Arabidopsis thaliana: one gene and its partners. The protein of the gene in region 3 interacts with the protein of the main gene of each other region in a pairwise test. Each region holds a gene or a part of one and is shown on either strand. Other genes may lie near its edges. The genes, in order: DiT1, AT1G50290, AT1G14990 and ABCG16.

Region 1 (8,607 bases), on a different chromosome or scaffold from region 3:
GTTTTCTTCTGTGTTAATTCATTTCAGAAAAGTTTATTAGATCCGTTTAATTCTTTGAGTCTTCTTTTGGTAAATCTTCTGACTTTCGTTGTCAAATTCTAATTACTTTGTTTCCTTATTTTCTGGTCAAGTTTTTATTATTATAATCATTTATCAATTCAATAGCTTTCCTTAATTGCTGATTTTGATTGACCAATATTTTTTATGATATACCTCTTCTCTACATTGCAAGAAGCATACGTTATTGGTTGATTTCATTACCCAAGTAACGTTTTTTATCTTTTGGTTGATTGTTTCAGATCTTTTTTCTTCTCCAGTGCCGTGAAGGATGTGTGGTCTTGCTAAGAAGCTGGATATAGAGGATACTTTGACATCACTGTCAGACCAAGAGAATGAATCTTTGGCCAAACCCATGAATGATGCTGCTGAATGGGAACATTCGTTTTCTGCCTTGCTTGAGTTTGCTGCAGACAACGATGTGGAGGGGTTTAGGCGGCAACTCTCTGATGTGTCTTGTATCAACCAGATGGGTCTTTGGTACAGACGGCAGAGGTTTGTTAGAAGAATGGTTCTTGAGCAAAGAACCCCGCTGATGGTTGCTTCGTTATATGGGAGTTTAGATGTTGTGAAGTTTATTCTTTCTTTCCCGGAAGCGGAGTTGAATCTGTCTTGTGGTCCTGATAAAAGTACTGCTCTTCATTGCGCTGCTTCTGGTGCTTCTGTGAATTCCTTGGATGTTGTCAAGTTGCTTTTGAGTGTAGGAGCAGATCCTAATATCCCTGATGCTCATGGAAATCGTCCTGTTGATGTTCTTGTTGTGTCTCCACACGCTCCTGGTTTGAGAACCATCCTTGAAGAGATCTTGAAGAAAGACGAGATTATATCTGAAGATCTGCATGCCTCGTCATCTAGCTTGGGATCAAGTTTCCGGTCTCTCTCATCATCCCCTGATAATGGTTCCTCGTTACTCTCCTTAGATTCAGTATCCTCTCCGACTAAGCCACACGGTACTGATGTAACTTTCGCATCAGAGAAGAAAGAGTACCCAATTGATCCATCATTGCCTGATATCAAAAGCGGGATTTATTCAACCGATGAGTTTCGTATGTTCTCGTTCAAGATCCGCCCATGTTCTCGAGCATATTCCCATGACTGGACTGAATGTCCATTTGCACACCCAGGTGAGAATGCAAGGAGAAGAGACCCGAGGAAGTTTCACTATACGTGTGTTCCATGCCCGGATTTTAAGAAAGGATCCTGTAAGCAAGGTGATATGTGTGAATATGCTCATGGGGTTTTTGAATGCTGGCTACACCCTGCTCAGTACAGAACACGATTGTGCAAGGACGGAATGGGTTGCAACCGAAGGGTTTGCTTCTTTGCTCACGCAAATGAGGAGTTGCGTCCCTTGTACCCTTCCACAGGATCTGGATTGCCATCTCCTCGGGCTTCGTCTGCTGTTTCCGCCTCTACTATGGACATGGCGTCAGTTTTGAACATGTTACCAGGCTCACCATCTGCTGCTCAACATTCGTTCACCCCACCAATATCTCCTTCTGGAAATGGTAGTATGCCCCATTCATCGATGGGTTGGCCTCAGCAGAACATACCGGCGTTGAATCTTCCTGGAAGCAATATCCAGTTGAGTCGTCTGAGATCTTCTCTTAACGCTAGAGATATTCCTTCTGAGCAGCTTAGCATGCTGCATGAGTTTGAAATGCAACGTCAGCTTGCTGGCGATATGCACAGTCCACGCTTTATGAATCATTCCGCTCGTCCTAAGACACTGAACCCTTCAAATCTGGAGGAACTCTTCTCAGCTGAGGTTGCATCTCCTCGTTTCTCTGATCAACTTGCTGTTTCATCTGTTCTATCGCCTTCCCACAAGTCCGCGCTTCTTAATCAGCTGCAGAATAATAAGCAGAGCATGCTTTCTCCTATCAAGACAAATCTAATGTCTTCTCCAAAGAATGTGGAGCAACATTCTCTTCTGCAGCAAGCCTCGTCACCCCGAGGCGGAGAGCCTATTTCCCCAATGAATGCTCGAATGAAACAGCAGCTACATTCACGCAGCCTAAGCTCCCGTGATTTTGGATCTAGTCTGCCCCGTGATTTAATGCCGACTGATTCTGGTTCGCCATTAAGTCCATGGTCAAGTTGGGACCAGACCCATGGAAGCAAGGTGGATTGGTCAGTCCAATCAGATGAGTTAGGTCGGTTGAGAAAATCTCATTCCTTGGCTAATAACCCAAACAGGGAAGCAGATGTTTCATGGGCTCAGCAGATGTTAAAAGACTCTTCATCACCTAGGAACGGAAACCGTGTTGTGAACATGAATGGTGCAAGGCCATTGACTCAAGGTGGTTCGAGTGTGAATCCTCACAACAGTGACACTCGTGAGAGCGACATTCTTGATGCGTGGCTTGAACAGCTGCACCTAGATCGCTGAGCCTCAGCTGCGAGAGAGAGGTTCACATTTCTGTGAAGCTGTGAAACTGATGATTCGTTTATTTATTATTCAAGAAAGCAAACGGAAACAAAAGCAAACTCCGGGTAAGCTTTTTTCGATTCTAATAACCCTAAAAGGCTCAGTTTTTTCAGGCTTCTTTCTGAAATTTCTTTACTTTCTTATTTTTATCACCTCATTAAATTAATTATTGTATCATCTCTGTTGTAACAATGGCCAAAGTGCGCCTCTATTACTTCCCGGATTTCTGATTTACATTTTTTGTATCCTCTCAGTTTGTCAATTGTTTCTAATATCTCCTTCATATTTGTCAAAGAACACTGTATGAGAAATAATAACATATTGTTTCAGCTAATAAGATTCATTCATTTCCTATTGCTTTCTCTGCTTTCCTGTTTTTTCCACTAAACTTTAACCAGCGATTCATAGACTAATAGACATTAATCTCTCAACTAACACGTTTATGGAAGTCGAGTAACTATCAAGTAAAGTGGTGGTCTCACTTTGAAACAGTAAAGTTAGAAATCAAACAAAATTGACGCAAGTTAAGATTGCTTACACTTCAAAATGTGTGTGAGTGAGAATAAAAATTGCAGAAAAACTCTGCTCAATCCTTATAACCCTGATTTCAATCCTTCTCAAATCTGAATCTCAAAGCCGTTCTAAGAGATTATATATATAAGTAAGGAAAAGAATGGGAAGATTGGTGTATGGTGGTCCTCACCACAAGCCAATGAACTTCCACCAGGCACCACCTACACCAAGCCAGATGAGAATGTTGACTATTGAAATCAGGAATCCATAGCCCCACCATTTAGCCAGCGGCACGTAGTTAGCTCCGTAGAAGATAGGCGCAGACCCGATACCATAATGGGTCAATCCTCCCATCAGGTTGGAAAGGAACGCAAGAACCAAGGCTGCAAAGTAAGGTGGAGTGCCTAGAGCGGTTGAAACCGATAAAAAGGCAGTGAACATAGCACCAATGTGGGCAGCTCCACTAGCAAAGAAGTAGTGAGTGTAGAAATACAAGAGGACGAGGATTCCAAAAGATAGCTGCCATGACAAACCCAATCCTCCCACAAACTGCAATCAAAACCCAAACAATGTCAAAACATTTCATTAGCATGCTAAGTCATTAGGCTTATTAAGCATTCATCAAATCATTTAACAAACCTTGACTACGGTCTGGCTGAACCACTCAATGAGACCATATTTGTTAAGATAACCAGCCATCGCAATGAGAGCAGCGAACCAGGTGAGTGTGTCCCATGCGACCGACTCAGCTAAGCACTCTTTCCATGTCACAACACCTGTCACAAGAAGGACTGATAATCCAAGAATGGCTGCAGTCACAGCATCTACACCCAACTTAGCTCCAAAGATCCAGAGACCAACCTGTGTCAAGGAGAACACTTTTTTAGAAAAGGAAAACCTTCTCTGTAATAAAACACCAAAACCACAAACATTTTCACTCAAAGCAAATGCATTAAACAGAAGCAAAGCCCTAGCTTAATCTAAGGAGCTACAATAGCTAAAATCTCTCAATGTTCAATACTGAAGCACCTTTCAAATCAAGCTCTCACCATAAGTAAGAACAGATCCGATGAAGCAGAAGCACACTTACCGTGAGGAATAAAGTGGCAGCCATAATCAATTCGTTCTTAGACATAGGTCCCATCTTGTCAAGCTTTTCCTGAGCCAGCTTAGGAGCATCAGGACTGCTCTTCACCGTAGGAGGATAGATGAGATACAAAAGAAACGGAACAACAATCAAAGACACAAGTCCTGGTACAATCGCAGCTTTAGCCCAATCAGTCCATCCAATCGTCTGCTTAATCGTGTTAAACGCCAAATTAGCACTCAAAGGATTCGCAGCCATAGCCGTCAAGAACATAGAAGAAGAGATCACAGAAGTCTGGAAACAAGTAAGCATCAACCACGAGCCAAGACGGTGCTCTGTTCCATCCCCAACGTTACTCCCACAAGCAACACAGAGAGATTTCACCAACGGGAGAAAGATTCCACCGGCACGAGCCGAGACAGAAGGAATCGCCGGAGCTAAAAGAGCTTCACTGAAGACGAGACTGTAACCGAGACCAAGGGAGGAGCTACCGAAGAGTCTAACGAACTGGTAAGCTACACGGTTACCGAGACCGGTTTTGATGAAACCGCGAGCGAAGAAGAAGGCAAGAGCGATGAGCCACGGGATTGGATCTCCGAAAGCGGAGAACGCGGCGGCGAACGTTAGGGTTTTGGTGAGAACGGAAGCTCCTAATCCCATTAGAGCAACAGCACCGAGAGGAAGCGGCTGAGTGATGATCCCGACGATGGTGGCGAGGAAGATCGCGAGTAATTGCCACGCGTTGCGAGTGACACCTTCGGGGACTGGAACGAACCATAGAATCAAACCAGTAGCGATCGAAGCGAGAAGAGGCTTAATGGCAGCTCCTTGCCATGGAACCGGAGCTGGAACCAAAGGAGGAGTTGGAGAAGAGGAAGCTGAAGCGACGGTGGAAGAGGCTTTAACGAGAGTTGATGATCTCCGGCGTAAAGAGACGGGAAGTGGAGATTTGAGTAAGGAGAAGCGAGAATCGAGAGATCGGAGAGGTTTCGTCAAATTGAGAGAGGAAGAAGGAGGACGAGGGAGAGAGAGAGATCGAGATTTGAGAGGGAAAGCGAGAGAGCAGGAGCCGGAGAGAGCGAGAGACGCCATGGTTGTAGCGTCGTCGGCGAGAGAGAGGTGTGAAGAGGAGAGGGAAGTGAAGAAGGAAATGAGTAAGAAGAGGAAAGAGAGAGTTGGATAAATGTTGACCGTTGGATTGGAATCGGACGGTGAGATTAAGAAAAGGAATATACGGACAAGAGTGAGAGAGAGTGATGATGAGATGAGATCGTGAGGTGAGAAATAGAGATCTCCGTCTTTGGTGGGTCAGTCACCTCATCCTATTGGCTGAAATATTTACGAAAAGCCATTTTGGGTTTGGGTTTGGTCTTTTTAGATCGACGAAACATACAAAGCAAAATCCTTCACTCAACAAATTTTCTATTGATTTATTAGCTTTGTTTTTTGGTTTTGAAAGATCTTAAACTATGCGTTTACTAGTGGATCGTCCAATGAAAGATTAACTGGCAATAGAATAGTAGCTTTCATTACATTGTCCAAGATGGGCCGAGATGGCTTCGCTTGGAATTAAATCTAGTGTAAACCCTTAAGCGGCCTCTCGTTTTTTTTTCTTTGAGTGTTATATGGTTCATAGTTTTGATTTGTTTGTTTAGAGTAAGGTGTGACATCAAATATTGAATACATGATTCTTTTATGTAAGAGGATACTTTCTAATGTGAATGTCTAAGAAAGTTACCAAATGTTTTAAAGTACATTCAATAAAACAAAATGTTCAGTTTTATCCAAAGATATAACATCAGAAAAACTTTCATTTAATTAGTTCAATCTTCTCCATTGCTACTTGATTACAAAATTCTTCAAGTGTTTGCCCCTGTTATATTAAAGAATGTATGTGCTTATTATTTCTTTTATTTATTTATTATAGGATATATGTTTTACATTGACTAATCATTACATGGCACCTCAAGGCTCAAGCCCTAGTACGAAAAGATTATTCGAAATACAAAATACTCTCTAACAATGTATATATATTTGCATTTATGTGTGTGTGGCTAAGAATCTTGAGTATAAACCGCAATAGAAAAAAGAATAAGATGACGTAAAAATATTCATATGCTTTGTTTGAAGTTGAAGTAAAACGAAGGAACCTCAGTGTTCATCAACTGGTCAAGGTCCCAAAATTCTTCCACTGGTCTCATACCCTCAGGTGCGTTTCCGGATCCATTAGTGTTCAACTCGTCTAAGTGGTTGTTTATATTTGCATTGTACCAATCACCTTCTTCACATTCCAAAGGTGGGAAGTAGAGTTCCCCTTGTACCCCTGCGTTTACTCCATAGATACCATCTACATAAGGGGTAAAATCGTCATTGCACGGGTGGCTGATCATGTTTCCCGTTGGAAATGGATTGTTGGTTTGTATGTGGGTCAAGGAAGGGTTGACGAAGCCTTGTTCTTGTAAGGACATGAAGCTTCCTATAATGTCTTTAATATCCAAAGAAGATGCGGAATTAGAAGAGGAATCGCTTGCTGTGTTGGGTGATGAGGATGAGTTGTTGATTAAGTTGGAGGTATCGGACATCTTCTTTAGCCTTTTCTTTATTGTTGAGTTCCAGAAATTCTTGATCTCGTTATCGGTCCGACCAGGCAATCGTGCTGCAATCTGAGACCACCTATGAAATCGAAGAATAAGAGAGTAGAATAGTTTAATGAGATGATGTTATGTAAAATGTATACCAGTGCATGGTTTGCATGGGAATTAGAGAGTGATCCGTTCTTCATGTTTTTTATGTTTGAGTACGTGAAAAAGAGGCAATATATCAACAATTATAAAATTGCACAATCATATTAAGCAATAAAATGACATTATACACACTGCGTGTTTTGAATTGAATCTATATATATATATATATATATATATATATATATATATATATATATAAATAGAGAGGAAACATGTCCTGCGTAAAAAACACTAGAACGTATATTTCTGGAGAAAGTGACAAAAAAAGGAACTAATAAATATATAATTACAAAGATGAAAGTTGAAGTAAAACCCTAAGGAAGAGAAGAAAAGGTGTGTAAAGTGACAAAAGCCGCTTTCACTAAAATAAGTGTTTGTTGTTAGATAAGATCATAAGACGCACTCTAAGTCTTAAAACCCACGATCAACGAACTTTGACCACTCACATAATTACATGTGAATGTACTCATACCTATTTTGGTTTTATGCGTCTATTTCCATTCTTACTACTATTATTCTAATTCAACTTTCTTTTGGGTCAATTTTCTTCGTACACAATCATTCTTCCCTTTGAATTTAAACAGTTACTAATCGTACCAATGAAAACTCGACCAAACTTTATCCTTCCACGTAAGTTTGATTATACATTTTACGATGTTAACGTATCTTATATATATAGTATTACTTTTTACTGATTAATGTAATAGTATAATTGAAAACTCGTCCTTAAAACAAACATAGATATTATACCTCTAAATAGATAGCTCTGCACTTCTTATTTATTTGGTAGAAAAAAAAAATCAAATAAAATATGGTGAAAACGTTATCAAGATCTAATTTGACAATTTGGTCGTTTTAGGGTGGACTTTTTTTTTAAAATCAGTTGACTGGCTTTTCTATGCTTTAACTTTGTACCCATTAACCGAAAACAAATTAAGCTACACAAGTTTAAAAACAAGACTCACCAGACAAAAGCTAGTTTGCCAGAACATTTATATTTATCTTCCGGCCACTAGTTTCCATATTTTATTCTATCTCTTAGTTGTTGTTATTATGTCAAAACCAAAATGATGGTAAAAATGTAAACCTGTTGCCGAGGATGGAATGAAAGCGAATGATGAGATCCTCTTCTTGAGGAGAGAAAGCGCCACGCTTGAGGTCAGGACGAAGATAGTTGATCCAACGAAGACGGCAGCTTTTGCCACATCTTTGAAGTCCTGCGTTTTTCGCAACATCACTCCAACATCCTTGTCCATTGCTTAACATGTATTGCATCAGCTTTGAGTCTTCCTCAGGAGACCAAAGTCCCTTCTTCATCTTCTTTACTTGGTGAGTACTAGCTGCAATGGCTACCTCTGGCTTCCTCATATTTTTGGTTGAGTTAATTGTTATTATTTCTCTTCAATTTGTTTGTCTTTCTCAAGGATCCATTGATGTGAACGAGTGAAGTTTGTTTTATAATAGAGAGAGAAAAGAGAGAAGACTTGATGAAGGGAGAATGATGATGATGAGAAAGGGATGGTTGTATGGTTTGCTTACAATTCTGGGAAGAAAAACCATTTGCACTTCTTCCTTTTTAATCTCTATTCCTTAATTATATTTTTATTGTATATATTATATTTATAATATAGTGTTGCTTTGTTTTAAAACATAAAAGAAAAACATCCGAACCCTGGCTCTTTTTCAAATTAAACACATTTTTTTTGTCGGCATATATTGTGTAAGGTAAATAAAATAAAATACACCAACAACAAATGTATGTTTTGTATATAACT
Region 2 (6,745 bases), about 13 Mb from region 3:
TTTGTGTCTCACTTTTGCAGGATAAAAAACATTTTTGGCTCAATCATTTAGTTGGTGAAGAAATTCAAGAAAAACAAAAAAATAATAGTAAAACTTATAACTTAACAAAAAAAAAAAACTGACCTGTAGATAGATGTCAATTGCTCTGTAAACTCCATCAAAGCAATCTCTAGCTGAATCCGGCAAGCTCTCTGCAACACCAAGAAACTTGGGGACTTTCAAATTCTGATCTGGAGATATTTCTCTCAAATACTTATCAATCAATTTCCCAATTTCTTTCATATTCCTCTCTCTTGATTCTTCTTCTTCTTCTTCTCTGTTCTTCACAAATACTTTTAGTAATCTTATCACAAGATCAACATTGTAGAAACCACTTTCTCTGCTTCCTCTTGCAGATATCAGAAGATCATCAAGTGTTGCTTGTTCCAGCATTTCTCCTATTAGGGTTTCTAAACCGATTCTTGACTCTCTACTTAGGCTAAAACTGGATAAAACTCGAAGAATCCAGAAGAGTTTCCTGCAAGAAAACGTACGTGTCCCTGCGGAAATCACTCCTCTAACCGCTGTGTCAGCTAAATCTGAGTACTCGAGCTTGTTCCTCATAAGCTCAGTGGTAGTTCTTGATTTGGTTTGGAGTTTTGTCTTGAGATAATGGAGAAGAAATCTGGTTAGGACTAAGCTTTTTATGTTGGTTTTGTAAGCTCCAATGATCATAACTAGCTTCAATATGATCTTCGGGGAAAGATTTGTCATATCTTCGAACCACCACTCGTTGCTTCTTCCGCAAGCAACAGACCGCGAAATATACCTACCGTCTGATTCTGACGTGTTCTTGGCCATCTCAGGAGAAAGAGAAGAGGCGAAGGAAGAAAGCGAAGAAGAAGAAAAATCGTCTGAATTCTGAGAGATTTTGTTCAAAGCTGCGAAAATGAGTTTATCTACAAGACCATACGAATCTGCTTGGAAGAACACTTGCTCGCAGTTCTTGAGACACGAAACGATGTCGCTCCAAGACCCATAGAACACTTCTTCTAGAAACTTCTCTGTCTGAAGGAAGAGATTAGAGAAACAGAACTTCTCCGACATGCCTAGAAAAACAGAGCAGCAGTACAAAGTCGAGACGTTTGAGACGTCGATTAAGATTTCTCCGTTGTGGTAACAGAACCTTGAAACCAGCTCAAACCCATCTGGTCCTCCTGGAAAATCATTAATCTCGATAGTGATGATTCTCTTTTTCTTGTTTCTCTTCTTTTTGCTCTGTTTAATCATCTTCCTCAAGCTTCCAGAGTACTTTGAAATCACGTTCTAAAACAGAGCACATAGAGAATTAAGAACAGAGCATAATCAAGACTGTGGTTTTTTGAACTGAGTTTTAGGTTTGGTTCTTTACCTGATTGAGGAAGAATGTGTATTGGCCATTGAGATTGATCTTAAGATCGTTGAGAGGAGACATTTCATAGAACAACTAGGAAGCCTACTGAGGTCTTGTGACTTTGTGAGCTTTTTTCTGTTCTTCCTCTGTGTTTTTTTCTTGGATTGAATAGAGCAATAATTATAGTGGGCACATGTAAATGAGTGGATATATATAGTGTTTCATTTGGCTTTATTTACACCTGTAAAATGCACAAAAATATATAAACTGAATCTAAGTTTGAGAAATTAGAGGTAAGTAAGACAAAGTTTATGTTGAGCTAGTATAATAAAACCACATAAATTCCAAAGTCTCTCAAATTCCCATAAATTGATTTCTTTTGTTTGTCTTGTTATGTTGTTTTTAAAAGAATGCTGTAGAATTTTGATTCCTATATCTTTGAGAAGGATTGACTTTTAAGAAATTATGATAATTATTTTTCACTGTCAAGTATTCGGTTCATATTGTACATGAGCTTTTCAAACTCAAACATGAATATCAAAACTTCAAAGTGTTTGAAAGGTCACTAAAAAAATTAATACAGCATTACTAAACACAACATACAGTAAAACCTCTATAAATTAATAATGTTGGGACTACAAAATTTTATTAATTTAGAGAGGTTTTAATTTATCGATAAATTAATATTTATTAATTTATAGAGAGATTTTCCTAATTTAGTAACTTTTCAAAAAAAATTATAGGATTTTTTTCATTATAGAAAATATCTTTCAAGAATCAATTACAACTAAACAATAATATCATGTTTAGAAAACAACACCAAAAGTTTTTGATACAGTAAAATACGAGAACTAAATTTTAAATAAAAATAAATACAAATTTAAGCAAAAAAATATTAGAATTATATTTCAGAAAAATTCCTACATATAATGTATATATATAATTGATATATTTATACAATTATTAATTTATGATATTGATGGGACCATATATTTACATAGAACTTTCAAAAAAGTTATTATCTTATTAATTTATCGATTTGTGTCACTTTTTACACTGGTACAAATTCGGGATTGGAAAAATTTATTAATTTATAAAGGTTATTAATTTATCGACTATTAATTTATAGAAGTTTAACTGTATGTTATAAATATCATCATATACTGTACTTTGGTCACTCTTTCTATTAACTTCTTCTTTTTTTTTAAAAGAATTTGGAATTATGTCGTAGTGCATGTGAATAAGTGGGGTCTAGACGAAAAAGATTTTCCTGTTTTAAGTGCGAGTCCATGACGAGCTTTTTTCATCGTATTTCCCATATCCGACCATGTTTTTTTTTTTTTTTTTCACTGGAAAGATTATGTTTATTAATGATCCACAGAATACAGCCCAACAAAGGTCCACTTAGTTACATTTCTTTAAAGGAAGGATATCTCTTTAACAAAACACGATCGTATAACAAGACACGTGTTGCAAGAGAAGCGATGAAACGTTCCTGTCATCCTGTGCCGTCAAAGACTCCGATCCGGTGAACACAATCAACGTCGAAAAAGGGCAAACATCGATTTTTGTTTTTTTCTCACCGGAAACTGCTAAACAGAGAAGGGAGGATACACAAACAGAGAATTCAATTCCAAAATCATCAATCAAGAGATTTGGCAAAAACAGGTAATGAGGAAAGAAAAATCTGAGTATTCCTCAAATTTGATCGATCGAAGCTCCATAAACATGTAGAAACGGCTACAGGCAATCCCAATATGCTGGAAACAAAACTTCCTTTCATACTTGAGGTAATTCTGCAAATCAAACTTTCTAAAGATACAAATCCGAAAACTTAATCTTAGGCTATTATGACCTAAAATTAATCTCCAATTGAAATCTTTAGAAATTATTGAAAGAAAAACTGAAAAAGAAACTAAAGCAATCGGTAAGAACAACCGATCGAACGGCGGAGGAAGGATAAAAGCCGGCCAAAACCGCTTGTAAAAGCCGGATTTGCCAGAAGAGGACCGGCCATCTTTGCTAACAAAGCCAAAATTAATCTCCTTCATATCTTTTAGAGAGAGGAACTGTTGAATTCTGTCGACCGGATTATTCTGGTAAACTGCCGTCCCAAGTTTTGCCGACCATGTTTATGACAATGATATGACATTAATATATATCCCCACAAATAAGCTTAATTTTTTCTTATCCTATTATAGTTTCAGAAACTATATTGTCCACAAAAATCTTCTTGTTCTATTTTTTTTATTCCCATTAAAATCATACAGCGATGAAATGATTGGCGATGGAAAAAAAAACAAAGGGACAACTAAAAATAATACTACAAAAGACAAAATAATACTTAATACACGTCTAAATTAGCAATTGACGTCGCTAACCATGTTTTGCCATAATTACCAATTTTCGAAACGATAAACATGGAGTATTCTCAGAACATAATCAGACCAAAACAAGTGAAAAACAATAGCCATTGATTCAAACCAAAATGAGTTTCACTTCACACAATAAGTAAACAAAAGGCGAAGACATTGTAATGATACCGTTGTAAAAGTAAGTCGACAAAACAGATGAGAAACTAAACCCTAACACTTATGAGTAATCTCTCAGTTACGGTACCTGCTTCCACGTTCGCGACCGTAGTCTCTGTCTCTGTCCCGATCATGGTCATAGTCATAGTCACGCTCCTTGCCTCTTTCCCTCTCTCGGCTTCTGCTTCTGCGTCTATCCTTATCGTAGTGATGATCTCTACCACGGTCTCTTTGCCTGTCTCTGCTTCTCTCTCTTCCATCTTTATCAATACCTGCCACATTCATATAAATTATGAACAACTACATTGGATCATGACCTTTCTATTTTTGGGGAAGCAGCAATAAACATTCTTTTCTATCTTCCTCTATATCTATTCAGTGAAAAGAAGAAAACTCTAACAAGGAACAACACTGTTTATTGGAGATCCCCACTAGGCTTGGGCTATAGGCAAGTTAGCTGCAAGCTTAATGTAAAATTTCAAACAAATCCCTCCCCGCATATATGTTAAGTTTCACTCAAGTGTCTAGATGACAAGCAGAAACTTTCTTTGAAGACTATACACAGAGAGTAGATATAGATCGAGCCAAATAAATCTCTATTATAGTGGAAAGGTTCTGTTCATAAGCTCAACCTATTTGATGATTGCATAGATTTAGTTCATATTAGTTAAAATTAAACAGAACTTACCTAGTTCCTCGACTTCCCACCCAGCACGACCAGCAGCAACAGCAGGTCTGGTGTCAGCTTGGTTTGTTTTAACACGGTACTTCTTCTTTAGATTCCCAAACTCATCATACATTTCACCATCATCCTGAAATATATTAGACGTATAAGTCAAATGGAATATACAAAAAACTGAGAGCTCATCCGAATTGCAACAAAAAAACAAAAAACAAAGAACTCTTCAGGAAAAGCATATCTTACTTCTTCAGCCTCACGCCTGCGTCTCTTCGTTTCCTCTAATTCTTGTTCATCTAATTCCTTGTAACCACCACCACGGCCTCCCCTATTTAGAGAAAAAAAAATGAATAAGCACTGGTCTAGATAAAAACAACCTTCCAAACTCAAACCTTAATGTTTCTTAATGCAACTCTAATTTGGCCAAAATAAAACATTACAAGTGGGATAAATCAATTGTCGAAGAAAACAAGCACTCGTTCAAATTGCAGAAGAGAGTATTGAGACTTTTTCCCAGGTATCTATTAGGCCCTGTCTAAAAGCAGAATAAATATACCCTGCTGACAACAAAACTACAAACATCGAACAGAAAATCTACGACCTCTCCTACATTCACTGTAAAATCATTTATAATCCAAATCCTCAGCTCGAACATTGCAAGATAACAATACAAAGGCAATCTTATCACTGGCTTTGAGTCATACCTCACACCACCTTCATTCTGACCAGGTTTATTGGTGTTGCAGATATTACATTTTAGACGTTTCGCCCAGTTGACATTGCCACACCTGAAAGAATTAGCGCAAAAAGAAAAAGTGCATTATGCATAAGAACTCACATTCACACAGTGCAGCCTCTTAGTTAAGCTACTCGATGACACATAGCATAACTTGCAATTAAACTAAAACATAGTCCATTTTTTGTATCAGACACAGAAAATTGAAGGCAGCCTATCTTCACAAATATAACTTCTTAGAAGGATCAAGACTACAACCTACCCACGTTTCAAATTACATTTTTCAGATTAACAGCCATCTGAAGGAAAATTACGAAATTAGAATCAACATTCAAAAAAGAAGGAAAAAATATGTGCCTCCACACATAATTTGGACCAGTTTAAGAGACACAGCACAGCAGAGCGGGCCATCACTTCTTTCTAAGTAAAGAGTCAACTGACATCATCAAAAGCATTGATATACAAGCTATATTCCTTCCATACATAAGACAAATTAATTTTATATCCAGCAACGCTATATGCCATCTGAATGTTCTCTTTTGCTACTGAATATAAATTGTTTCTTGCGATGTGTTTTAATCAAGTACCAAACGCTCATTATCCTCTGAAACTGAACTAACTATTTCAAACCTAATCGGAATGCTTACATTGGACAAGCCCAATCATTTGGACCAAAGAGACCAGTAGGAGCACCACTGGGCTGCTTCCCCGGGGCCCCACCATCAGCGCCTCCACCTCGACCCCTTCCACGACCAGCACCCATGCTGCCACCAGATGCACCAGCTGGTCTAGCAGTTCCACAGCGGTTACAAACCCCACGGAATGCAAAATTCACATTTGTACAACTGCCAATGAAAGAGTATGAGAACACTACTGCTAGAAACTATAAAATATATAAAAACTAGCAAATTAACGGAAACAAGAGCTAGATGAAGCTCCTCACCGATATCACATCACAGACCTTGTATTAGGGCACATCCAGTCACCATCTTGCTGCCATGGCTTTGCCGAAGAATCAGCCTGACCCCTCCCCCTTCCAGCACCTCCATTTGTTTCCTCAGCACCTCCATCGAATTCAACAAACTCAACTGCATCACCAGCATTTTTATTCTTCGACTCGGCCATAAAAACTCCAATGGTGTTTCCATGAAAATCTTTGTTATTGAACCATTCAACAGCAGCCAAAGCAGCATGCGGATCCTCATAGGTAACAGTAGCATCTCCCTTGGGCTCATCAGTTTCTTTATCCCGGTACAGCCATACCTTAGGAGTACCAGTTCGTTTGTCTCTCTAAAAGCAATGTAGAAAAAAATGTAAGAAACTCGAAAATCTAGTGACCTATAAAAGATTGCAATGACGTCAAAACAAAAGCAACAATTAGTACCTGGCCAATACCATACCTTAAGCAACCCAATGGTCCCAAAATA
Region 3 (7,194 bases):
ATCCAAAATTAGTAGTTTTCCAACCATTGTGAAAAGGAAATCAAAAGACACAACTTTCAGAATGCATAGACATGGACCTACTTCTCGACCTGATTCAGTTGTCAATATGTGAAGAAGGAGATGCTATATAAAAAAAGCCATGCGGCCAAATGAGCTTATTTCTTTTGTTATAGCATGATCATGAATAAGCAAAGTCAACTAAGCTATCGTCTACATTGGCTATTGAAGTTGCTGCCTAAACGTAAACGAAAAGCATCCACAGATTACGGAAAAGCACAAAATGAGAAGATGCAACACTTGGGTTATCCATGTGATTGATGCCCATTTGTAAAAATTCAAAGACAGGTTCATAAAGGTAGATTCAATGATAAACGACAACAAAGTCCAACCACATCTTCAAGATAAACTAATTTATAAATGACTTCTCCTCATAACACAAACACCAACATGAACCCTCGTGGTTAAGTTGGCAAGCTTAGCCTTTTCAATCCTCGTGCAAAGTTCCCAAAACATCCTCGTCCCGGAAGAGATGGTACCTGCGTCCATCACACAAACACAAAAGTTACTCACTTTGAGTCAAATTCTTCTTCATTTGTAATTTCTTATTCGTTTCTAAAATCAACCCACCAATCAATATGTAAATCTGGTGTTCAAATTGGCATTATTAAACATTGATCAAAATGTTTTTAAATCCTCTGTTACAAAATTTTCAATATCTTCACAGTCTTACAAGTAATTCCCTTAGTTCCATCCATTAATCTAATTAATGGATAATGATTCCTGAACATGATTAGCTAAACATAAAGGTTCAATTAGATCAGATCAGAATTTTATCAGAATATTAGGGCAATAATAAGAAAGAAGCGGGTTTAACTTACTCGTTCTCGCCGAGCTTGACCTGTGTACCACCGTACTCTGGAAGAAGAACAGTGTCGCCTTCCTTCACAGAGACCGGAATCAATTTCCCGTCCTTATCCCTTGATCCAGGTCCAACAGCTATCACCTTGCCTGAGTTCAGCTGCAATCACCCAAAAATATGTTTATTTTTCAGATCTAAGAGGCGAAAATCAGAAGAATCAAATCGTGAAATCAAAGCTCTTTTACCTTGGAGGATTTCTCAGGTAGGAGAATGCCGCTTTCGGTTTTAGCGGGCTGGATGACTCTCTGCACCAAGATGCGGTTGAACGTTGGGATCAGACGCTTCATCATTTCTCAATTCTTCTTCTCTCTCAGTTGATGAATCGGAATTTTCTAGGGTTTCTGAGTTTTTAATTTGGGGCAGAGACACATAAGACGGAAGGTTCTAGATCGTAGGGTTTAGCGCGACAGAAAAAGGCCAAGGGTTTTGGGATTGTTTGGGCCTATAATATCATACTATTTCTTTAATGGGCCTCACTCATTAAAAAAAACCAGTCGCATTTGTGTTTGTCTAAATAAATTCTTGGAAGTGTTGTATGACCTTGCAGCTCAAATGGTTAGTTCCTTCCATGATTCTCTTTGCCAAGTTTTTCAAACTCCATGTACAATCCCATTTCATATACCACATCCAGAATGAGATGTTTATTTTCGGCAGATTTTTCGTGGAATGAAATCTTGACCTTTCTTTTATCAAACGTCTCTGCTGATGATGGAAAGCTTCTTGCTCTGTCAGTTTTCCCCATTTCTTTCAAGGTGGTAACCAAAGTTTTTCCCCGGATTGTTGCTTTGCTATGCTATATGTTTATTACATTGTGCCTCTGCGGGAATTACATGCTCTTAATTTTCAGAGTACAAATCTGAATAATCCATGTAAGCCAATGGTACGGTTCCGGACTTATACAAACACCATACAAATGTTCCAAGATACCAGGATTCGAATTTGCTATAACAAGATTAGGCACAAAGCTGAAACAAAGAGAGCTGGCGCCACTAGCCACTTCCATCGAGTTGGCCTTGAGATAGAAGGTGAGCCATGTATTGCTGCATTCACAATAAAATGAGCTCAATTCTTGGTTCTAACCCCACATGATTCGACAAACATTTCTATCAATGGCACCACAAAGTCAGTACCATCAAGATTCTAGACTTATGGAAACTGACCTTTACAACACTAAAATATCCGCACCACAGAGATTATCATAAAGAGATTGAAGAAACTTACGGAGTGGTAAACGTATGGAGATTTTCCCTGGCGATCAAAATGCTTAGCCATTATGCAGAATTCAACAGGACCCCAATCTTCAGATTCATAGCAATTCCCAAGCGCCGCTTTGTACAGCTTTACTCCAATAAACCCCAATCATCAGTTCCACACAGAACTAATCAACTATATAAACTGTAAACGACAACTCAAAATTGTCATCAAGGACAAACCTTAGCTGTGTCGGTCAAAAGTTCGGTGCCAGCAGGGTAAGATGCATAAAACTGATCTCCCCTGGAATATCCTGCTCTTGTTCTACACAACATTCGAATCAGTAACATTAAATCAAATTAAACCTGAAGCAGAAACCAAGAGAAGAACCCAGAAATTGAAATCATCTGCGAATTCCGATATTGAAAAGAAAGAACAACCAAAAGAAGCAAACTGAGATCGGACGAAAGACATTACGTGTTGTTTGTATAGAAGAATGTGAGGGCAGCAGTGAAGCAGTAGAATCCGGCGTAAGAGACAGCCCGTCGTAGCTTCTGGATCTTTATAACCTCTGAGCAAACATCCAAGATCATCATCTTCACACCTTCGGAAACTCTTTCAGGTATTATATCGAACACCTTGTGATCACTTTACCAAACAGAGATGACGAGTAGAAGAAGCATCTCACGAAATTTGCAATTGACAAATTGTAAACGCTTTGTATTGTCCAACTTTTTATGGGCCTATCTGACCTTTTTCTCTTTTCGGCCCAATAAAACTTTTAGATTTTATTTCTTTTGGCAACAATAAATTTAAAATAATATACATTATGGAAAATCATCTACAAACAAAAACCTTTAAATTAAAAAACTCACATGTTAATGCAATTAGGTTAGTAAGCAAGCACGTCTTGACAAAAATGTTATTGTTACACATTTAAAAATTCACATGTTATACAAGACAAAACATAAACGTAATGTTTTGCAGTCAAATAATGAAATAAATGAAATAATACAAAGGGATCTTTATGTAAAGGCGTCACCAATTAGTGGAAATAATGGAGCAAGCCACTACACTCTTCATATTGCTTTCCACTCTCCTCCTCGCCGTCTCCGTTGAGTCTCCTCAGCCACCGCTATTTCCCGATGAAGCTCTCCCCACTAAATCTGGCTACCTCCCGGTTAAACCCGCACCCGGCTCGTCCATGTTCTATGCCTTCTACGAAGCCCAAGAGCCAACCACACCTCTTCCTGACACTCCGCTCCTCGTTTGGCTCCAAGGTGGGCCAGGCTGCTCTTCAATGATTGGCAACTTTTACGAGCTCGGTCCCTGGCGTGTAGTTTCACGCGCCACAGACCTCGAGCGCAACCCCGGCGCATGGAACCGTCTATTCGGACTACTTTTTGTGGATAACCCAATAGGAGTCGGATTCAGCATCGCAGCCTCACAACAAGACATACCCACAAATCAGAGACAGGTCGCTGAGCATCTTTACGCCGCTCTCGTGGAGTTCCTTGAACAAAACCCAAGCTTCGAAAACCGACCGGTTTACTTCACTGGAGAGAGCTACGCCGGGAAGTACGTTCCAGCCATTGGATACTATATCCTTAAAGAGAAACCCAATGGGAAAGTGAATCTAAAGGGGCTAGCCATTGGAAACGGGCTGACCGACCCGGTGACCCAGGTTCAAACCCATGCGGTCAACGTCTACTACTCGGGTCTGGTCAACGCAAAACAGAGAGTTGAACTGCAAAAAGCGCAGGAGATATCTGTAGCTCTCGTGAAGTCCCAGAAATGGCGTGAAGCAGCAGACGCGAGGACCGAACTGTTGACGCTACTAAGTAACATGACAGGACTCGCGACGCTCTACAACACGGCACGGGCGATTCCATACAGAACAGACCTCGTGGTGGACCTCTTGAACCAGAGAGAAGCAAAACGTGTTTTGGGAGTGAGTGAAACGGTTCGTTTTGAGGAATGTAGTGATGAAGTAGAAGATGTGTTGCGGGCAGACGTGATGAAGAGCGTAAAGTTCATGGTGGAGTACGCATTGGAGAGGACTCAAGTCTTGCTGTATCAAGGTATGCTTGATCTAAGAGACGGCGTCGTTTCGACGGAGGAGTGGATGAAGACTATGAACTGGTCAGGATTGGGAATGTTCTCGACGGCGGAGAGGCGTGTGTGGAAGGATGAAGACGGTGTGGTCGCTGGTTATGTTCAGAGATGGGGGAATTTGTGCCACGTGGCGGTTACAGGAGCTGGTCATTTTGTTCCGACAGATAAAGCTGTGAATTCAAGGGATATGATTGAAGGTTGGGTTTTGGGGAAAGGATTGTTCGGTGGTAAAGATGTGAAGCAGACAACTTCGTCGAGCTTATACCATTCAATCTAAATATTGTGTACTTGTACTTAGTTCTGTAAGATTCAATTCAGATTCTAATTGTACTCTGGATTTAGATTTGTTACGTCATGTTCACAAGTTCATTTTAGTACGAATTGGTAACTTTTGCTACTTAGTTTATCATTTGCCTGTTCCTGAAGTCTTAAACTTTCTCAAAAAAGTTAGCATACAGTATACACTTAAGGATTGATTCAGATAAACTGTTTTGGTAAGAATAAGGAGATTTGAAGCATAAACTAAAGAATTTTTAAAAACATGTAATGGCGATTGGAGGCGGGATTGTGAATGAGATTCAAAGTGATTTGAGTATAAAAAATACACAAAACACAGAGAAAGCACAAAGAAACCCGTACTATGAAGCCATTTTGGTATTAGGGAAAGAAGAGCAAGGGCACCCCGTAGAAAACCTACAGGTATTTCAGAGCTATTTATCAAAATCTCTCCCCTGTTTTTTGCCTCTTTCCCGATTCAATTTTCTCGGAAAAACATTCGCGGAAAACAGAAAGAAAACTACTAATCATATGAAAATCAATCTTTCGCCTAATTGTTGAGAGAATGATATTCAGAACATCGAAAAATTGAAACAAAATTCATTGGAACCCTAATGACGGCTCCTGCTAAAACCTGTGAAACTCGCAACTTTATAGTGCGAAATTAGGAGAGTTAGGGCGGACGATAATCCTTTTAGTTGGGCCGAGAAAAAATTGGGTTCAGAGTTAGGTAACTATTAAGCCCATTGGGCTACTGTGTATAATCTATGTCCATCGTTTGACCTCACCATTGTTAGAACAAACAAAAAAAATAGACATCACTTCACCATTATTTCTTAAATTAATGTTAAGTATGAGAGTACCCCATGATTCCTTAATTAATCATATGGATTGATTCGTACGTTTTTTGGATGTAAACAAAGGAGAGGTCAATGTACATATAATTATTGGTTGATAAATTATGAGGATAGTACGTTAATGGGATTGACATTTAATGATATCTCCAATTTAACACCGATCCATCTTTTTCATCGGAGCTTCATGTTTGATGTTTTTTTATTTGGCCGTGTCGACAAATTTGTAAAAGACGTGTAAAGCTGAAATTGAGAAGAAACAAAAGTGAAATTGTAAGGAAACGTGATCGATGGTGACCCCATCAATATTACGATAAGGTAACGCGCTAAAGCAGCCTTAGCCGTTTTTATTAAATATTATCCAAATATAACTTATAAATAATCCCACCAATTGTGTCTCCTAAGCAACAGAAAATGGAAATGATACTGATCTCGTCATCGACACTCAGGTTCCATCCATTGAGGACATCACAAAGAATCGCCACCGGAACCAATAGAAGACGAACCACCACCGTGTGTGCAGACTACTACAGAGGAGGAAGAACGGTGGACGAGAACATGGTGGTCCTTAGGAAACGAATCCATGAGATGAAGATGGTTGAACGCAACTTTGAACCTCCTTCTCATTGGATGCAATGGGAGAAACGTTTCTACTGCAACTACGACGCTACTATATGTGATGCACTCACTCTTCTCCAAACTTTTCTCATGAACTCTCGTCCCAGCGTCGCGTTTGGAACGTGTCTTCTTCTCCTCGTCAGCGTTCCCGTCTCCTCCGCCGTTTTTGCTTTTCGCATCCTTGATCTAGCTCTTTGGCTTTTGGACGCCGTTCACGTAGTATGATCCGTAAATATCTTTGTTATTTTATCTAGAAACTATCTTTGTTATTTTATGTCGAAATTAAGGTAATTTTCCAAAACTAAAATGGAATTATTTATTATCAACAAATACCTTGAGAAATTCTATAATGATTTTGTTTAAAGAATCCTAATTTCATCTTTTTTGGAAAAATAAAAATAAAAAAAATCCGTACTTCATATGATTTAGGAAAAAAAAGTAATCAGTGTGAAGTAGTAGAAGAAAATCCTTGCTTCATATGACTAGAGATCCGTTGATTATTCGGAATACCGGAAAACTAGAGTCTCTCAGATCTGTTGATTTCTCAATACAAGAAACGAAAAAACGTGAAGAATTCGTTGATTCTCTGCGAATACCGAATCCTACGTCTTCTTATAATCGTTGAAATCTTTCAAGATCTACCGAAAAGAGAAGAGTATTCTAAAAACTCTTTAATTTAATTAATCAATTAACTGAATACAAAAGAATGTATAAACGGCTTATTTATAATAAAACCCAAAAATCAAAATAAACAGTAAAATAATCATATAATTATCTAAAATATAAATAATAAATAATATGGAGGATAATGATTGAAGATATTTGAAAATTATCCTAGTTACGCGCTGCAGTGTATATAAACTCTCAATGGATAGTTATCAAAAGAGTATGTAGCAAATAGAAAAGAGACGAGACAATTCAATGGACGTAACGTTACCTCATCATGTGGTAGAAGATATTCTTGAACGACTTCCTGTAAAAACACTCCGTAAATTCAAATGCGTTTGTAGCACATGGAGATCCACTATAGACTCACAACGTTTCAAGGATAGACATATGATTCATGGACAACTACTCGAAGATCCCGATATCCTCCTTCTCGGGCGTTGGGATCCTCCCAGTCTATCCAAAAACGCTTCTCTAATGACATTGACGTTTGACTCATCGACCATGCCGTTTTCTTTCAAGATTCAAACTATACCCGGAAAAGCCAACTTTTAC
Region 4 (8,596 bases), on a different chromosome or scaffold from region 3:
CCCAAAATATCTAAGAGAATAAGGAAACCACTTTTTTTTATTATTCTGCATTGTCCAAGATAGCATAGGCAACAAAATTGATAGTAAGGCAATTAAGAAGCTTTTTGCGTACCAGGTTATATGGATCATATCTTAAACTATAACTATTTATATTTGTATATCTCTTTTGGTAAAATAACACACATTAAAGAAGTGGCCAAAACAAAAATTCAAGACTCGAACATATGACATAATAACTAGAGTGAAATCTCACCGAGCTATGCATCTCTGCAGGTTGAGGAAGTCGGCTGATATAAGGGACCCATCGAGACTTCTGATTCAAAAGCAATCAGAGACTAAGTCAAAACCAAAACACTCACATGAAATGGGAGACTTATTTTAAGTCAATTACTCAAATGTTGATGCCCTAGCTTACTTGACCCATTTTCTTCTCTCTTATTAGAACAGCAGCAAGCATTCCGATATTCCCAACTTCATTGCTCAATAAAACTCTAATATCCGAGGGGAGCTCATCTGGAGTTATTTGCTGAAATTTTAAGTTAGAACAACACTAATGGCATAAAAAGAATTTCCAATACTTCTTAAGACACATGATAACAGAAAAGCTCGTTTCAGTAGACAACAATATACCGCATTAAAAGGGACTTTCAACATGCAGTCACCAGCATAGATAACTTTGGAGGCGAACAGTGACCTGCTCAGAAGTTGATATAGTTATTAACATGGTTAGTGTATTTGACATTAAAGATAAAGCATCACACCAGGAGACAGCCTCTGGTAGGAAATGAAATTGGTTATTCTCACAATCACTCATTAAACAATCGCATAAAGATGGAAAACAATCAGATTACTAAACAAGACAAAATAACATGATTCAAAGTTGTACAATGTTTCAACTATTGATGACAAGACAGAACCATATTAAAGAACATCAAGACAAGTCATATAAAAATTAAGCTGCCACAGAAGGTATCAACAAAGAATCTGATCATTACATTGAAAGGGAACTATGAATAGAATTATTGAATAGAGAAAATGTGTCTAACAATCCATATTTTAATTGCCGGTAAACAGAAAACCGAGGTACTCGAAAAACGGATTTTGAAAAATACTTGCAAAGTTGCATCTTATTCAAAACATCATCAAGCCCACCTGCCATAGGTGGATTTCCCAATCGAAAGAGTATTAGTTATCTTTGCTCCAGCAATTCGCTCTAACCAGGGTAAGAAGTTATTGTCCAACGAAGCCTAGATATAAAATGGATAAGATGATCGTAAATCCTCTTTTGTGAGAGACATAAAAGTTCTGTACAACATCTTCTTACATCAATTAGCTCCCAAAATCAACAGTCTGTTTGGTTAACTATAGATAGAAGAAGCTAAAAGAACATAAAGGTTTCATCTTTGGTATCAATTGCTATCAGTAGAGGAGAAACATACATAACTTAGAAAAATTCTTGGAACCACACTCAGGTATGATAAAACTTTTCTAACACTTGAGATAATCAAGCTGTGAACAGTCCATCACATTGATTTCACAAATTTCACGAAAGTCTCAATCTTTCACAAATCAAACCTGAGTTTGGAGCTCTAACGTTAGTTTCCCGGCGAGACTGAAACGCTTGGCTAAAGAGCTAACATTGCGCCTTTGTTGAAACCCGAAAAGCTTCACTGTCGAAATGCAGAATAGCATCTCCAGCCAAACTGGATGGCGCGTGAGCAACCACCGCTCGTATTATGGACTCGTGTTTCGACTGCGGCTAGAGCAGAGCGGCCAGGACCAGACGATATTCTGATGCTGATTCGGTCCGGTTTGTTTCGGTTTTAAATTTCAGATAAATCGGTTTGTTTTTAATTGATTTTGTAGATAGCCTTCCAATTTTGACTTTTTGATACCTTACAAAGTGAAATGGCTTTGAGAGTTACTTGCCTCTAGCAACAGTGTCTGTGTCTCCTCATTTTTCTTCCACAATCTCAATGCCTCTATTTGAAATGTTGCATTAATTTTCTGAGTAAAAGCGATTCATAGGTGCTTTTTGTATTTCCAATTTCCTAAAGAATGATATTTTTTTTATTGATGGCAAAAGTAATACAAATGTTAAAAAGAATACAATTCAAATACACAATCAATCTACGAATTACAAGTAATGAAAAAGAATTACAATATATGTTTTTGGTTTTAGGTATCATCAGTAGTTTCAGTTTCACCTCCTCTTGTTTTTGCTCCCAAGCAACAAACACAAGTAAAACAAAATCCTAAATAGGAATCCGAAACCTACCGTGATAAGCAAGCAGTTCCATTTACTAAGCTGTGTCACTCCTTGCTGCTTCAGAACATCAGCACCCGTCGTTAAACACGTAGAGCTCGATATCCTCATACCTATCGACCGGCTCACAGAATCCAAAAGCCTCAGCTTCATCCCATACGTCAATTCTCCCAAAGGCGAGTTGTCGAAAAGCTGAACACCTCTCACAAAACATTCTGTAGGATCCGAGAACTCGTTCTGAAGAACCGCCTCGTATGGATACTTAACCAGAGAAAGATAATGAAACCAAATCCAATACTGAGGGATTCGATCTCTGTTGATGAAGAAGCCACTGAAAAGCAAGAAGTAAGCTAAAATAGCAACAACGATCGTGTAGCCTAACATCACATGTGGAACGACGCCGGATAAGAAAGTCACGAAGGAGCTTCCGGACCAGAAAGAGGCTAAGATGATTAAGCAGTAGAATAAAAAGCCCATTAGGCCTCCTTCAAGCCCAACAGCCCAAAACGTCGTCACTGCGAAAGCTAAAGAGAGGAAGATGAGCGAAGGGAAGGTAACAATGGCGTGAGAGAGAACGTAGGAGGATCTCCGGTAAGCGTTGTAAGCTGTTTCTCTCATGAAGATGTAACGTTCCTGGAGGAACACGGGAAGAGCATCGGCGCAAGTGTAGAACATTGTTGACATTGCGAATGCGAAGAACCCTAACCGCTCTTGAACTCCTTTTGGTGAATTATCCAATCGCCAGAATACGGTGGCTAAGATGAATCCGGTGACGATTACGGTGGCTAATCGCATTCCGAGTAGCTCCGGTTGTCGTCGGGAGTTGAGGATTGAGCGTCTGGTGAGAGTTTTGATTTCGATCCAGAACGGATTCGCGAATGCAGGGACGGCTAAGGTTCCGCCACCGTGGTTTATGACGGAGGAACCACCGCCGCCACCGGAGACTAGTTTTCCTCTGCTTATGCTGGCGGAAATCGCTTCTTTCAAGGTTAAATTTGGGTTTGGAGAAGCCGGCGGAGTTAGGGTTTGAGGATTGCTCTGTTTCTTCATCTCTTGCCATTTCTTGTTGAATTCAACTAATCCTCTTGTTCCTCCAGCTGATCCTTCGAGTTCTCTGATTAGATCGAGTGCAAACTCCGTTTGATTCTCGTTTTCCGGTATCGGATTACCGAACCCGGCGAAAAAGCTCGGTAGACTCGCCGGAGAACCACTAAAGACGGTGTGTCCACGTGACAAGAAGATAAGACGATCAAGTAAACTGAGAACTCTGTGACTTGGCTGATGTATTGACATTATAATGATACTGCCACTCTCTGCGATTCTCTTCAATACTTTAACCACCATGAAAGCACTTGTGGAATCTAAACCAGAAGTAGGTTCGTCGAGGAAGAGAACAATCGGGTCGTGGATGATATCGATTCCGATCGAAACTCGCCTTCTTTCTCCACCGGAGATTCCACGGTGTCCTTCGTCTCCAATGATTGTTTTAGCAGCGTTTCTTATCCCTAACTGGTCGATTAGGGCTTGAACTCGAAGCTTCTTCTTGGATTTAGGTAAGCTTCTTGGTAATCGAAACTCAGCTGCAAACATTAAGGTTTCTTCCACAGTAAGCATCGGGAAGAGAAGATCGTCTTGCATTACATAAGCTGAGATAACTTTCAGCATCCGAGATTGAAGAGCTTCTCCGTTAAGCGTTACCGTGCCCTTCAAGCTTCCTTTAGCGATCCGATTCGCTAAAGCGTCGATCAAAGTGGATTTACCTGACCCGCTAGCTCCAAGAACGGCAAGAATCTCTCCGTCACGAGTCTCACCGGAGATATTGTCTAGAAGAGTCTTGGTCTTGGAGAAAGATGTCCTCCTCCATGGAACCAGGTCGTGAAAGTCAAGTTTCCGGCGAACAGAGACGTTGTAAGTAAGGTTGTTGAAAGATAGAACGAAAGGAACAGGACGCATAAGATGATCATTATCTCCGTCAAGTGAAGAACCATCCCTGTCAAAGAATTCATGAACAGGAGTTTCGTCACCAACTTCAACCTTACGAACGTCGCTAACGTTCTTGAGAAGTTGGCCTAAAGTCAAAGATGAGCTAATAATCTCCATGGAATGAAACGGTGTTGCATTATCATCTTCTACTAGTATGCGAGACATTTAGAACAAAAGATGGTAAAGTGAGAAATGATGTGCTTACACTTGAAAATCAAAACACTCTTTGCATGATCAAAATGTTAGTCTTTGTTCTCTGTTTTGCTAGTATCTGTGTATAGGCCTTATATATATGAAGTAACGTGTGGAAGCGTGTGAACACGAAGGTTCTATGTGTTGAATGAGTTGCATCATCATGAGAAATCTGTTAGGTTTGTGTTGTTAACAATAATATTCTTAGCGTTTGGATGGAAAATGCGTTTTGGATTTCTCGTATTCAATTAGGGAGAGGTAATGGGATGACCAATAAATCTAGATTTTCCAAGGTGATAATACTAAAATACGTAGAAATGGCTGACACGTGGCGATTAGAATGGAGAATTAGGTGAAGGGTGTTGATCTAACCGAGGTATAGATAGTATATAGGATTGAGATGAGATATTTCTTGCGTTTCACATAGTGTTTGGTCAATTAATTAATGTTTTTAAAAGATTCTTCGAATGTTGGTAGCGATATAGTGATTGTTTGTATCGCAAGCAAATGTGTACCTAGATAAACTATTCACATTTTCTTTTGTTTTCGCGACCGAAGACGATTGCTTATGCTGCTAACTGCCTAAAAGTTGCAAATTGCAATAATTCCGGAACCCCAACTAATTCTACCAAATATAATATAAAAGTTATATTTGATAAAGTAGCTAGATTTGTATTTAGTTTGGGAATATAAACTCCTGTTTTTGCTATGAAAGACTACACACAATCTCCAAGTTCATTTTTTCTATTTCTTGATTATTTAGTTGGTAACGGTGGAACATTCTTTACCAAACTCAAATATTGTGTTTGGTCTTTGTTTCCTCTGTTTTATTCACAGTATACAGAAGCTGATAAAACATTCTTTTTGTTTTGTAAAGGGTGGAGTGGTGGTTTAAGAGAAATATAATAAAAATCGTCAAGTTTGTTGCTAAAATTAAACATGCATGCGAAAATTACACGAGAATCATAAAGATGGTGTCACATTTCAAATACTATTTGTTAAGAAAGTAAAAATAGTGATGTCTTTGATCCATCCAGGGAAAGAAGAAACAGATCAAAAGGTTAGGCAACTTCCTCTTAAGTAGTACTTGGTCAAACTTCTAGTGATGGACACAATGGTAACATGAAAGCAAAATTGACGTACTGGCTTAGCTTCTTGGATTTCCAATCCTAAACTTTGACTTCACTGTTACATCTTTTTGGTTGACATTTTGAAGTTTAGGTGACTAACTTCTACCTACTGTAGTCTTCCTTACCGCCATAAGAAAAGGGTCAAAGATTTATAATACCATCTAATAAAGCTTATAAGAAAGTTGGCTACTTTGAATTCTATTTTCGACCAACTGTTTAGTTGTATATACTTTTGTTTTTAAAAAGTGATGCAATTTGAATTTTGTCAAATACGTTATGTTTACACCGACCACGAAAGATGGCATATAGCTCACACGCACATTAAAACTACTAAATTACTTCACTGGTAGCTTGTGGTATCTTTATATTAGTTTGAACTTTAAACTATTGATGTAGTTCATATTGTTAAGTTAAAAACATTACCAATTGTGAATTAAACTAAAATCTTAGTCCTTTATAAAATTGTGAACCTAACATCATGTAAAATGTTAGATGTACGATTCTTTCTTTAGACAATATATGATAGCTATGAAAGAAAAAAATAATAATTATACAACATATATCATCAATATCTCAAATTCAAAAAGACAATTTTGCTTTCACAATAAAATTTCTGTTTCGGAAAAATTTACATTATGGCGTTCACGCCCTCTTATTCTTGCTTCCAAGCAACAACGAAAAATAAAACAAGATCCTAAAGAAGAATCCCCAAGCTAACGTTACCCACAAGCAACCCCATTTATCCAGCTGCTCAATTCCATGCTGCTTAAGCAAATCAGAGCCCGTCGTCAAACACGTTGATTCCGTTAACTCCATCCCCAAGTAACCGCTCATTGTCTCCAGAAGCTTAGCCTTTGTCGTTTCAGATACTCCTTCCATTATTGTATTATCAAACACTTGGTTTCCTCTCACGAAACAACGGGAGGGATCATCGAATTCGTTGTGCAGAACAGCTTCGTAGGGATACTTTAGCAGAGAAATGTAATGAATCCATATCCAATAAAGATGGATTCGATCACGGTTGACGTAGAATCCGCTGAAGAGGAGGCAGTATGAGAGATAGCCAAAGGTGACCATGTAACTCATCATCACGTTTGGAATCACACCGGAGACAAATGTAACAAACGAGCATCCTGACCAGAAGGACGCGAAGATGATCATAAGATAGTAGATAAAACCTGCCAGACCACCGTTTAGACCAACGAACCAGAACGTGGTCGCTGCAAAGCCTATGGAAAGTGCGAAGAGATGAGGCAGAGTTACTAAAGAGTGAGATATAACGTAGGAAGATCTTCGGTAAGCGTTATGCGCGGTTTCTCTTAAGAAAATGTATCTTTCTTGGATAAAAGCGGGTAAGCCATCCGCGCAACTGTAAAACATTGTGGCCATTGCAAAGGAGAAGAAGCTTAACCTTTCTTGGACGCCTCTAGGAGAGTCATCTACTTTCCAGTAAACCGTAGCCAAGAGAAAACCGGTCATCATGACTATGAAAACTCGTGTTCCGATAAGCTCGGGCGTTCGGGTCCAGTTTATCATGTAGCGTTTAGCTAAGATTACGGTTTCGACCCACCATGGATTTACGTATGAAGGAATAGATCTATATGAAGTAGAGACAAGTTTGCCTCTTGAAATGCTTGCATTGATGGCTTCTCCCAAAGATGATGAGTTATGGTGAGGTTCTTGACTAACTCTTAGCTTCCTATGTTGCCAATTTCGATTGAATTCGACTAAACCTCTTGTTCCTTCGGGAGATCCTTCAAGATCTTTGATTAGGTCAAGTGTGAATTCCGCAATGTTCTCTTTTTCCGGTATGGGACTACCAAATTCCGAGAAGAACAAAGGGAGAGTAGCAGGAGAATCACTAAACACAATCTGGCCAGAAGATAAGACGATTACACGATCAAGAAACTCCATAATCCGACCACTAGGCTGATGGATTGACATAATTACGATGCTGCCGCTACGTGCAATCTTTTTCAAGACTTGCACCACCATGAAGGCACTAGTTGAGTCTAGTCCTGAGGTTGGTTCGTCGAGGAACAAGACTATAGGATCGTGAATAATATCGGTCCCAATTGATACACGCCTTCTTTCTCCCCCGGAGACACCACGATGGCCTTCATCTCCGATCACAGTGTTTTTAACAGTTGTGAGCCCTAATTGATCTATTAGGGTTTCTACTCTGTTTCTTTTCTTTGATTTGCTTAAGCTTCGCGGAAGCCTAAATTCGGCAGCGAACATTAGAGTTTCTTCGACTGTGAGCATAGGGAAAAGGAGATCTTCTTGCATTACATAAGCTGATATGACTCTCAACAAACGAGATTGCAAAGCTTCTCCGTTTAGAGTTACCGTGCCTTTCAAGCTACCTTCGGCTATTTGTCCTGCTAATGCATCAATAAGCGTTGATTTTCCAGCTCCGCTTGCACCAAGAATGGCTAGGATCTCTCCTTCTTTAGCCTCTCCAGTGATACCATTGAGCAGTGTCTTTATCTTAGCAGGGCTATGTCCGAAACGAAGACCAAAACGCTGTTGAAGAGTGACGTTATAGGTGAGGTCGTTGAAAGCAAGGACGAACGGAATGGGCGGTATCTCAGATTCATCAACATCGATCACGGCGTCTCTTTGCAGCATCTCGCCGGAAGATTAACACAAAGCGCTGTGTTATTATTTTATTGTTGGAGTAACCTTGAAGCTTATTTGAAGAAGAAGCTATTCAAGAAAAGGAAATTAGGATTAGACATTATTGTTTAGGAAGCTGCCTAAATAAATATGTAAGTTATCCTAAAACAGATTAGGAAGTTGTCTAAGTTTTCTCTTATAAAAGAGAGATACTAAAGTGTGGTATTCCTAATGAGTTTTGAGATTGAGAGATTGTGAGAGAGCTTTAGTTTTTGAGTAAGTTTCTAAAGCAATAAAAGAAAGAAGTCTTTTATAATCAGAAGTCTTGATCTAAGATTTAAGTTCTTAATTCAATATTTATATGATCAGCGATTCATCTAGAGATCATGAAAACGATTAGAACATT

What was found.
Region 1: the proteins of AT1G14990 (region 3) and DiT1 interact in a protein complementation assay, tested with the Arabidopsis thaliana proteins (one large-scale study listed by BioGRID).
Region 2: the proteins of AT1G14990 (region 3) and AT1G50290 interact in a protein complementation assay, tested with the Arabidopsis thaliana proteins (one large-scale study listed by BioGRID).
Region 4: the proteins of AT1G14990 (region 3) and ABCG16 interact in a protein complementation assay, tested with the Arabidopsis thaliana proteins (one large-scale study listed by BioGRID).

The regions. Positions count from the first base shown.
Region 1 is NC_003076.8:4,056,740-4,065,346, forward strand, and holds DiT1 (dicarboxylate transporter 1), read right to left. Parts: upstream 5,551-8,607; 5' UTR 5,181-5,550; coding exon 4,092-5,180; intron 3,863-4,091; coding exon 3,641-3,862; intron 3,551-3,640; coding exon 3,188-3,550; 3' UTR 3,112-3,187; coding exon of another isoform or gene 3,111-3,111; 3' UTR 2,840-3,110; downstream 1-2,839. Other genes in the region: AT5G12850 (CCCH-type zinc finger protein with ARM repeat domain-containing protein), read left to right, coding at 329-2,449; MYB46 (myb domain protein 46), read right to left, coding at 6,200-6,761, 7,920-8,200. UniProt on the Arabidopsis thaliana protein: 2-oxoglutarate/malate translocator involved with DIT2-1 in primary ammonia assimilation and in the re-assimilation of ammonia generated by the photorespiratory pathway.
Region 2 is NC_003070.9:18,624,840-18,631,584, forward strand, and holds AT1G50290 (uncharacterized protein), read right to left. Parts: upstream 3,614-6,745; 5' UTR 3,424-3,613; coding exon 3,019-3,423; 3' UTR 2,712-3,018; downstream 1-2,711. Other genes in the region: AT1G50280 (Phototropic-responsive NPH3 family protein), read right to left, coding at 124-1,305, 1,391-1,453; TAF15 (TBP-associated factor 15), read right to left, coding at 3,979-4,175, 4,592-4,715, 4,829-4,910, 5,287-5,370, 5,966-6,163, 6,280-6,608, 6,719-6,745.
Region 3 is NC_003070.9:5,165,446-5,172,639, forward strand, and holds AT1G14990 (uncharacterized protein), read right to left. Parts: upstream 2,820-7,194; 5' UTR 2,707-2,819; coding exon 2,588-2,706; intron 2,435-2,587; coding exon 2,353-2,434; intron 2,258-2,352; coding exon 2,141-2,257; intron 2,080-2,140; coding exon 2,050-2,079; intron 1,960-2,049; coding exon 1,909-1,959; 3' UTR 1,586-1,908; downstream 1-1,585. Other genes in the region: CPN10 (chaperonin 10), read right to left, coding at 485-536, 879-1,018, 1,105-1,209; scpl50 (serine carboxypeptidase-like 50), read left to right, coding at 3,168-4,502; AT1G15010 (mediator of RNA polymerase II transcription subunit), read left to right, coding at 5,770-6,198; AT1G15015 (F-box family protein), read left to right, coding at 6,895-7,194.
Region 4 is NC_003074.8:20,414,139-20,422,734, forward strand, and holds ABCG16 (ABC-2 type transporter family protein), read right to left. Parts: upstream 4,773-8,596; 5' UTR 4,415-4,772; coding exon 2,204-4,414; 3' UTR 2,045-2,203; downstream 1-2,044. Other genes in the region: AT3G55080 (SET domain-containing protein), read right to left, coding at 1-10, 254-313, 416-526, 631-694, 1,153-1,247, 1,576-1,692; ABCG17 (ABC-2 type transporter family protein), read right to left, coding at 6,214-8,202.